Linked DNA regions of Canis lupus familiaris. The protein of the gene in region 2 interacts with the protein of the main gene of each other region in a biochemical or structural test. Links are inferred from orthologs where the notes say so. Each region holds a gene or a part of one and is shown on either strand. Other genes may lie near its edges.

What was found.
Region 1: the proteins of DCN (region 2) and TGFB1 form a complex in vitro, tested with the Homo sapiens proteins (3 studies listed by BioGRID). The link is inferred for Canis lupus familiaris from reciprocal best matches to the Homo sapiens genes DCN and TGFB1.

What each region holds. Positions count from the first base shown.
Region 1 is NC_049222.1:113,412,383-113,416,617, reverse strand, and holds the start of TGFB1 (transforming growth factor beta-1 proprotein), read right to left. Parts: upstream 3,092-4,235; 5' UTR 2,200-3,091; coding exon 1,845-2,199; intron 1-1,844. Other genes in the region: B9D2 (B9 domain-containing protein 2), read right to left, coding at 3,939-4,235. UniProt on the Homo sapiens protein: Transforming growth factor beta-1 proprotein: Precursor of the Latency-associated peptide (LAP) and Transforming growth factor beta-1 (TGF-beta-1) chains, which constitute the regulatory and active subunit of TGF-beta-1, respectively.
Region 2 is NC_049236.1:32,180,018-32,184,547, forward strand, and holds the start of DCN (decorin precursor), read right to left. Parts: upstream 2,924-4,530; 5' UTR 2,770-2,923; intron 1-2,769. UniProt on the Homo sapiens protein: May affect the rate of fibrils formation.

The DNA.
Region 1 (4,235 bases), on a different chromosome or scaffold from region 2:
CCCCTACTCCTCCCTAACTCTAGCCAGGCTAGCCCAGCCCCCACAAAGCAGCCCTATCTCGACCCAGGCCTTATTCAGCAAACCCCAAAGGAAGGGTGGCTCAGGGGCGTGGAAGGAGGGGGGGGGGGCAAAGAGGGAGGGGGAGAGAAAGGAGGGGCAGGACCCGTGAAAAGGAGGGATGGAGACCCGAGGAGCAGGGGGGAGGAGAGAGAGCGAGACAGAGGGAGGAGACAGCACCGGGGAGAGCGTGCAGGGAAATGCAGGAGAGAGGAAAGGCAGAGATGGGGCAGGCACACGCGGGAGAGACACGGGGTTTGGGGGCCAGATGGAGGCAGCCTGGGAGGGGAGGCGAGGATGGAAGGTGTCAGCGTTAAAGAAAGGTGAAGCGACCACGGAAGAGGTGAGGCCGAGCTGTGGGTGGGGAGGGGCGTCATCTGGTTGGAGCTGCCACCCAGGCGTAGGGGGACCCACAGGTGCACCACTCAAGACAGAGTGTGCGAACAGGGGCACCCCACCCCACCAAATCTCCACGCCACGCGGGCCACCTGGGTCCCCGCGTGGGCGCCGGGGGGGCGGGCCCAGCGGCAGCCCCGCCCCGCGCAGGGGTGAAGAGGGCGGGAGGCGCCGCCGCCGCGAGGGCGGGGACGCGACCTGCCCCGTCTCGCCCCAGGCTCCGCGCGCGATCCCCGCCCCCCGGGCACGGGAAGGAAAGGGAAGGGAGGACGAGGCGGCCGGACGCTGGGGTTTCCCCGGCCTCCCGGAGAGGAACTGGGAATCTGGGGTCCAGGCTCTCCCCGTTCAGCCGTGCGGGGTCCTCCTCCCCCCGCCTTCCGGGAGGGCAGGCTCCACCCTCCGCGCGTGGCACCCACGTGGGGCTCCCTCACCCCGACCCAGTCGGTTTTCTCACCCCGATCTTGCAGAGTCGCACCCACCCACTTCTCCCCCGAGGGCTCGAGTCCTCACTCAGCCCACTTCCTCCCCTCCCGCGGCGTGGGGGGCTCGCTGCTCCCGGCACGGCGCTATTTATGTCTCCTTGCACCCCCTCCCCGCCCCCCCTTTCCCCTGCTTGTCTCCCTCTCTCTAAACCCCTTCCCACCGCCCAAGTGTCCTGGGGGCTCGCTCGGCTCACGTCCCTATGCCAAATACTCGGGGCACCTGGCGCGCATCCCGGGGGGCTCCGCTGCGCCCCCGCTGGGACCTCCCCCCACCCCACGACCTCGGGCCCCCTTCTTCCCCGCACTCAGCAGCCCCCTCGCCGCGTCTCTGTGGGCCCTCCCCAGCCCCGCGTGTTCCCCGCGCCCGCTGCGAGTGGGGCCGCTCTTCACTTCCCCGGCACCTCGGGGCTTCGCTTCACCTAGTTTTTCTGTCCTTGAATTTTCTCGCCTCGTGACCCCTGGGCCCTGGGTCAGCTTTCCCCTCCTGGCTCTCCTTTCCTTTCTCAAATGCTGGGGACTTCGCTTCTCCCGAAGCGGGCTCCCTCTCTGCAGCCCTCACCCCAGGACCCCCACCCTCTAGTGCCCGGTGGCGAGGGAAGCCCTTCTATCCTTCCACACCCCCCCAAACTGCTTCTCTCCCTCTAGGGGGCTGCCCCACGGGCCCGCGTGTTCTCACGGCCCTCTAGGAGCGGTCCACTAAGCCCCTATCTCCTCCTCTCCGGGCCAGATACCCGGGGGTTAGGGAGCTCAGTCCTGTCCTCTTTGAGACCCCCTCCCGCGTTCCCGGCAACCCCGGGGGTCCTCTTCCTCTAGCCGGTTTCCTCTGCCAGTAATTTCCTCCCCGTGACCCCTGCGCTGCGGCGCCCCCTGGGGGCTCCCCTCCAGGGTCCCCGGCCCCTCTGAGCTCACTGTTGGTGTTTTCCACCATTAGCACGCGGGTGACCTCCTTGGCGTAGTAGTCCGCCTCGGGCTCGGGCTCCGGCTCGGCGCTCTCCCCCGCCACCCGGTCGCGGGTGCTGTTGTAGAGGGCCAGCACGGCCTCGGGCAGCGGCCCGGGCGGCACCTCCCCCTGGCTCGGGGGGCTGGCGAGCCGCAGCTTGGACAGGATCTGGCCGCGGATGGCCTCGATGCGCTTCCGCTTCACCAGTTCCATGTCGATGGTCTTGCAGGTGGACAGTCCGGCGGCCGGCCGGCCAGGCGTCAGCACTAGTAGCCGCAGCAGCGGCAGCAGCAGCGGCAGCAGCCGCAGCCCGGAGGGCGGCATGGGGGAGGCGGCGCCCCCGGCACTGCCGAGAGCGCGAGCGGGGCTGGGGAGGGAAAAGGGAGGCCCCGCCCCTACAGGGGCTGGGGGGTCTCCCGAAGAAAGGTAGGAGGGTCGGGGTTGGGGGTGGGGTAGTTGAAGCCCTCAGCGAGAACGGAGCGGAGGTGGAGGGGAGGCTCTGATGGGCGGTTTCTCGGTATCCCAAGGAAAAAACCGAGATGGGCGAGATCTGGTACCAGAGGTGGGTGGTCCTGAGCAGGGGGGTTGAGGCAGGTCCGAGAGAGGTCCCGTCTCCCGGATCCCGGAGAAGGGTCCTTGGATGCGCGGGGGCTCAGGAGAGAGGCTGGGGGTGGGGGAGCGGCGTGCAGGGGGGTGCGCCCGAGGTCTGGGGTCAAGTCTTCGCGGGAGTCCGGGTTGGCGGCTCCTGAGGGCTGGTCCGGAATGGGGGCGCCGGGGGGGGCGCCGTGGAGGGGGCAGGGAGGGAGCAAGCGTCCGAGGCGGCGGTGGGGGCGGTCTGGGGTCCCCAAGTCCTGCCTCCTGGCGGGGCAGCGCCGCGCCAATCGGTCCCCGCGCCTCCGGCTCCCAGCGGCAGCGGAAAAGTCTCAAAACTTTTTTTCCTCTTCTCCCAACCAGCTCGTCCCTCCTCCCGCTCCTCCTCCCCCTCCTCCCCGCAGTGGCGGCGGCGGCGGCGGGGGCGGCGGCGGCTCGTCTCAGACTCTGGGGCCTCGGGCTGCTCCGCGGCGGCTCCTTCCTCCGCTCCCGGCCGAGGCCGGCCCGCGGGCGGCTCCGAGCCGGGGGGTGCCCCGGAGGGGGCGTCCCCCCTGCCCCCGGCCGGGGGCCTCGCTGTCTGGCGGATCCGCGGCGGGAGGAGGGGGTGGGACGGCCCGGGGCGCGAAGGGCGGCGGCGGCGGCGGCGGCGGCGGGGACCGGCTGGGGCGGCGGGGGGTTTTGAAGCCGCCCCGGCCCCACCCAGGAAGCGCGCGGGGCGGGGGCGGCCCCCAGGGGGAGGACATGGGGGGGCCGGGCCACCGTCCTCATCTCGCGTGGGCGGGCTCCGAGGGGGGTCCCTTAAGCCCCGGGGGGAGGGGGCGGGCACCCCGGCTCCGCCCCGCGAACGGGGTGCTGCCTCCTGGCGGCTGAGCGCAACCCTAGCGGGCCAGCGGGCGGCGTGTGCTCCGAGGGCTGCGCGGGGTCACGGAGAGAAGGACCTGGCGGGCGGGCCCCATCAGAGGTTGGGGACACCGGGCACGGGGGATCCGAGAGTGGGAAGGCTGGGAAGAGGGTCCGCCGGAAGACGGGGTCCCAGGGGGAGAGGGGCACAGAGGAGAGACCCCCCCCCCAAGGAGACAGGGTCCTAAGTGGGGGAACCCAGAGTGGGGAGGGGGACAGAGACTGAGGTAGAGGGTAGGGGAAGTGGGTGTGTCAGAGGTGGGGGCCTGAAGGAGGGTGTCAGTGGGAGGACAGGGCACAAGGCACCTGGCCGGTGACGGAAGTCAGGAGGGCACCCACACCTGTAAGAACCGCTCTCCTTTATTGAGCATTTGCAGGGCAAACCAGCCTCTTCTCACCTGACCCCCGCCACCCCGCACACTCACTGTCCCCATTTTACAGACAAGGAAACTGGATCTGAGGGGGTGGCCACCGGGCTGGAGGTGCTAGTGGGGACAGAAGCCACTGCCGGACTGGCTGGGGTCAGACCCGACAGTGTCCAGAGCCCCCGGCCCCCTCCCGGGCAGGCAGGGTCAGCACTCCACCCCGTAGCGGTCGAAGTGGCGCAGCAGCAGCCCCAGCTCCAGGTGGACCAGGCCTCCGGCCGCCGTGTGCAGCCGGTAGCGGTCGGCGCCGCTGTAGATGGCATCCCCGTGCAGCAGCTGAGGGCCGCCACCCACGAAGGCCCGAGCCAGCTGCTCCCGCCAGCTGCCCAGGGGCCGCCACGTGGGGCAGTCCAGCCGGTGGGTGCCCGGGCTGCTGGGCACGTGGCAAAAGCCGTAGCCCGCCAGCTGGCAGCGGCCAAAGCTGTCCTGCGACCACACCTGGAG
Region 2 (4,530 bases):
AAACCCTCCTGAAACTGCTCTCAAGATTCCCAAAACACAGAGCAGATACTATCTTTCGTTTCCCCACATCTACTTTGAATCCTACACTGACAAGAATCATATTAAAGCTGCACATTTAAAGACTATACTTTCAGGGGTCATTTCTATAGTCAATCGGAGAAGGACAAACATTATATGGTCTCATTCATTTGGGGAATGTAAAAAATAGTGACAGGGCATAAAGGGGAAAGGAGAAAAAATGAGTGGGAAATATCAGAAAGGGAGACAGAAAATGAGAGACTCCTAACTCTGGGAAACGAACTAGGGGTGGTGGAAGGGGAGGAGGGCGGGGGGGTGGGGGTGACTGGGTGATGGGCACTGAGGTGGGCACTTGACGGGATGAGCACTGGGTGTTGTTCTATATGTTGGCAAATTGAACACCAATAAAAAATAAATTTATTTTAAAAAAGTTGCACATTTATAACTAGACATCAAGAATAATTTTTAGTCATCTGCCAATTGTAACACATGCAACGATACAACAAAAACAAAAAGCAAACAAAGACACACACACAAAAAAACAAACAACTTTGTCCTAACCTTAATGCATCTATCTATGTATCTTCTGGGAATTCTTGGCTAGATGCACTCTAGAGGGAAAAAAAAAAGTTTTTGGATTTTGTACCCTTTTGTTCTTAGTTTATATTTGTTGCTGAGGTGTGTGTAAGGCAGCGTATATACAGCATGTGGCTTCTCATTTAAAAAACCCTGCAAAGATTATTATTTACACTGCCCCTTTAAATTCAGTATCAGGTTTTCCCTGGGAGCGTGTTCCCATTCAGTTACTGCATTGCCTTTTAACGGACACCCTATTGTTTTGGCCCTGTTCCCTTGGACTGGATCTAAGGGAGTGGTTTTCTGTCTGTTTCACATTAAAATGCAATGTTTACGGTTTACCACAGTTTGCTAGCCTTGCATATTTAATATCTTACAATTTTAGACGAAAAATGAAGCAAAGTAATTGCAGATTTAATAAATAGCAATGAGAATTAATGCAGATGTTGCTTTTTGATCTTTTCTCCAGGACAGAAAATGCCTGCTTGTTTCACTAACCCAAAAAAAGGAAATTTTTTTCTAGCTCAGAGGAATATTATCATTTGTATGTGTTTACTCTTGTTAAAATGGTGCAAATTCTCTGCACAATTTTTTCTTGGTTAAAGCTGAACACAAGCAAGAAGTTTCGAGCTTCCATTACTTATTTTATATCACTTTGATTTGTGTGTGCGTGTGTGTGTGTGTGTGTGTGTGTGTGTGCCTTTTAACCCTGAATGTCCTGGAGAATAACATGTCCAGAAACTTCATACAAATTCAGCCATGAAATGATTTCTTTTAAATTAGTGTCATCATACTTGTAGACCCAGCATCTTAAAACAATTAATGGGGGCTATTGATATTAAAAATTTCTTAATCATTTCCTTTCTTCCTTAGTATATAAGAAAAATAAACAAAAAAGTAGCAGTTGCCCTTGCAGAAACCAAGAGGATTATTACTGAGGTAACATACTTTCTGAATTTCATTGAAATTATTTTAAGCCTTCTTAAAAAAATAGTATGACTCTTTCCTAGATGCTAATTGCTAAGTATAATGTCACTACTCCACTAAAGTTAGTCGCCACCGTTTATAAGAGTTTCATAAAAAATAGTAATTTCTGGCTCCCTAAACTACTTCAGCCCATTAAATTAACTCTATCATTCAGATTATTTGTAGGATGTGATTTATGCCTTTGGTATGATTTTCAATATCAAAATTTAACCCTCAGGAGATAAATGAAACTGTAACTGCAGAGCAAAATAAAATCCCCCAGCACTAGGTGAATGAAAAACTTCAATAATAATTGAGGTTTTAAGATAATTAATTTAAAATAGACATTGCAGATGACATTTATCCATATATAAGGACTGCTATAAGGCATTTGGTTCTTTTTTCCAGTCAAAATAGCAAGAGGAAAAGAAAAACCCACAGGAATTTATGTCACTGGGAGCCCACATAACCAGTGGTCATTGTGTTACCTTGTTTTAAAATTAGCAAGAAAAAGAACCTACACCCTACACCCTCCTTTTCTAGTGATGTACCTTACAATAAAATTTCATTTGCATTGAAAATACTGTCTGGGCTTTTTCCTTCTCTGTCAGGAATTATGTAGCTAACTGTGAGATTATCTTTAATAAGTAGCATAAGTATTTTCAATGTTTATTTTCACCTCTCGTGATAATTTCTATTCTTTCCTAGGTTGTAGAAATATACATTTATTTGACTTCTGCAGTTAATCACCAGAGTTCACATCTCTGAGGTTTTAAAAGTTCTGAAAATATGCAAGAATTCAAGAGGGAACTAAATCCTTATATATATAACCCAACTACAAATACTCTGCTGATCCAGAAAACTTCTCTACAAATACTTTCTAAAGAGGTAAAACATTTCATTAATACAAATACAAAATATATCAATATAGATACTCATGGTGTTAGGTTAGAGTATTTTTTTAATAAACATCTTTGCAAGAACAGAAAGAACTAAAACAATGCATTCAACCATTTTACCAAAAATTAAACTTCTGTCTTCAAGCAATACTTGTTTAAAATGCTGCATAAAGATTATCAAAAGTTTAGCACGATTTTCTTTTTTTTTTTTTTCTTTTCTGCTTCTCACCAAATAATTCCTTTTGCTCTCAACTTGATCGAAGTTTTATTAGTCTGTAGCAGAGTTCAGGACAATTATTGAAAACCATACCTTTTAATCCGGGGATTTGCCACAGGAGCCCTCAAAGCTGAGATGTAATTACACTAAATATTCAGCCCAAGCAAAAGAGTTTGCAGGTGTGGAAAGGAGGAGGGGGTAGGTGCTGCTCTGTGACTGTCACTAGGTTGAGAACCTCCTGCTTCTACTCCATAGCACAGTTAAAAAATAAGGTTTCCCTCAATGAACACAATCCGGCTGACACCCACATTAGATCATATGGTAATGATATGTCTCTTGTATGGCAGCCAGAAAGTTTATCGGCCTTTTTTCTCCCCATTTGCTTTATTCTTTTTGCATCTGCTTAAGACTCTAAACTGCTTATGTGGTATAGAGGGGCAACTTGATCTGAAATTTGTTTTATTGTGTTGATTCATTTCCCTAAAACACAGTAACTAAAGGGTTTGCTTCCCCACCCCCAGCCTGACTCCACTATCCACCCTTTCGAGTCTTGTTTATAAGGAACGTTTATACTTCCGAAATGACCGTTTTTCTTGCTTTCATGATGTGTATGTAAATCTGGCAAATGGAACTAAATTAATTTTGTAGATATTTTAAATGTGGTCTGCAGGAAAACACATGGGTAGATTTCTGTGAAAATACTCTTTCAGATGCTTACTTGCCTTGGGCTGTTTGTGCAAATCCAAGGACTCTGCTGTGGAGTTTTTCTATGTATTTTGAACAGATTTCTAAAGTGTCCTGGAAGAAAGTGATGGATTTATATGAAAAGAAAGTCACTTATTGCTATTATTATCATTTCATATTATTCATCATCTTTCTTGTTGTTTACCAGCCACTGAGTTTCTCTTTATTTTTCTAAATCAAACACACAGATACTAGAAATTGGTCACATTTTCATTTAGCCTGGGTGTGAAAATTTTGATTTTTCCCGGACAACACTTGTATATAGTCCAGAACTTTGAAAAGGCAACAGAGTCTGTGGCTCTTTTCAAATTTCAGTAAATATAGAAGAGAAAGTGTAAATACAAGAAAAGGTATTTATTTAGCCACTGGAAGGTTTTTTTGAGATTTTGTAATTCCCTTGCTGGATGCTGTTTAATTCTCTCCCTGTGTGTCTCTATGTTTTGACTTGTATCTTTATGCCCTGGCCCCCAGGCTGTTACCAGGTGGAAACTTGAAATCAACATCTGTGAAACATGAGAGCTAGCCCTCCCATCCTCCACCTTCCCTCTCCTTCCTCCCCCCACCCAAATGCACAATTCTACAGTAAATACTTTTGCCTTGATGAAACCTGAAGGAATTAAATTCTTGAGTGGGTATCTAAAGGAGGGGAGGGGTGCTGTCACATGACATTTTTCCCTATTTCCCAAGACCTGCCTCCCTAATTTTATCACATCCTACCCCCACGCCTCCTCTCTTTGACATTGAATAACCACATGCCCACTTTTTCGGATGGTTTAGAAAAAAGCCAGGTATTATTTTCCCTGGACGTTGGTGCAGGATCCATGATTCCTTTATGTGGAATTAATTATGTTTCCCCCTTGAACTCCTCTTGCATCCATTTCTTTCCTATGACATGCGATCGCTCCTCCTTCATGGTATAGATGTCTATGTACATGTCTCACCCCAAGGGATGAAGCACACCATTTTCATTTGTAGAGTCCCTGCTCCCAGCAGTCATGGTATTTAGTAAATTCTCAAGGACACACTTAATGAATGACCGCATAAAGGCAATCAGGTCATTGGCTATGGATTCCACGACAATTACCGTCTTGGCCAGCCCTGGTTTGCTCC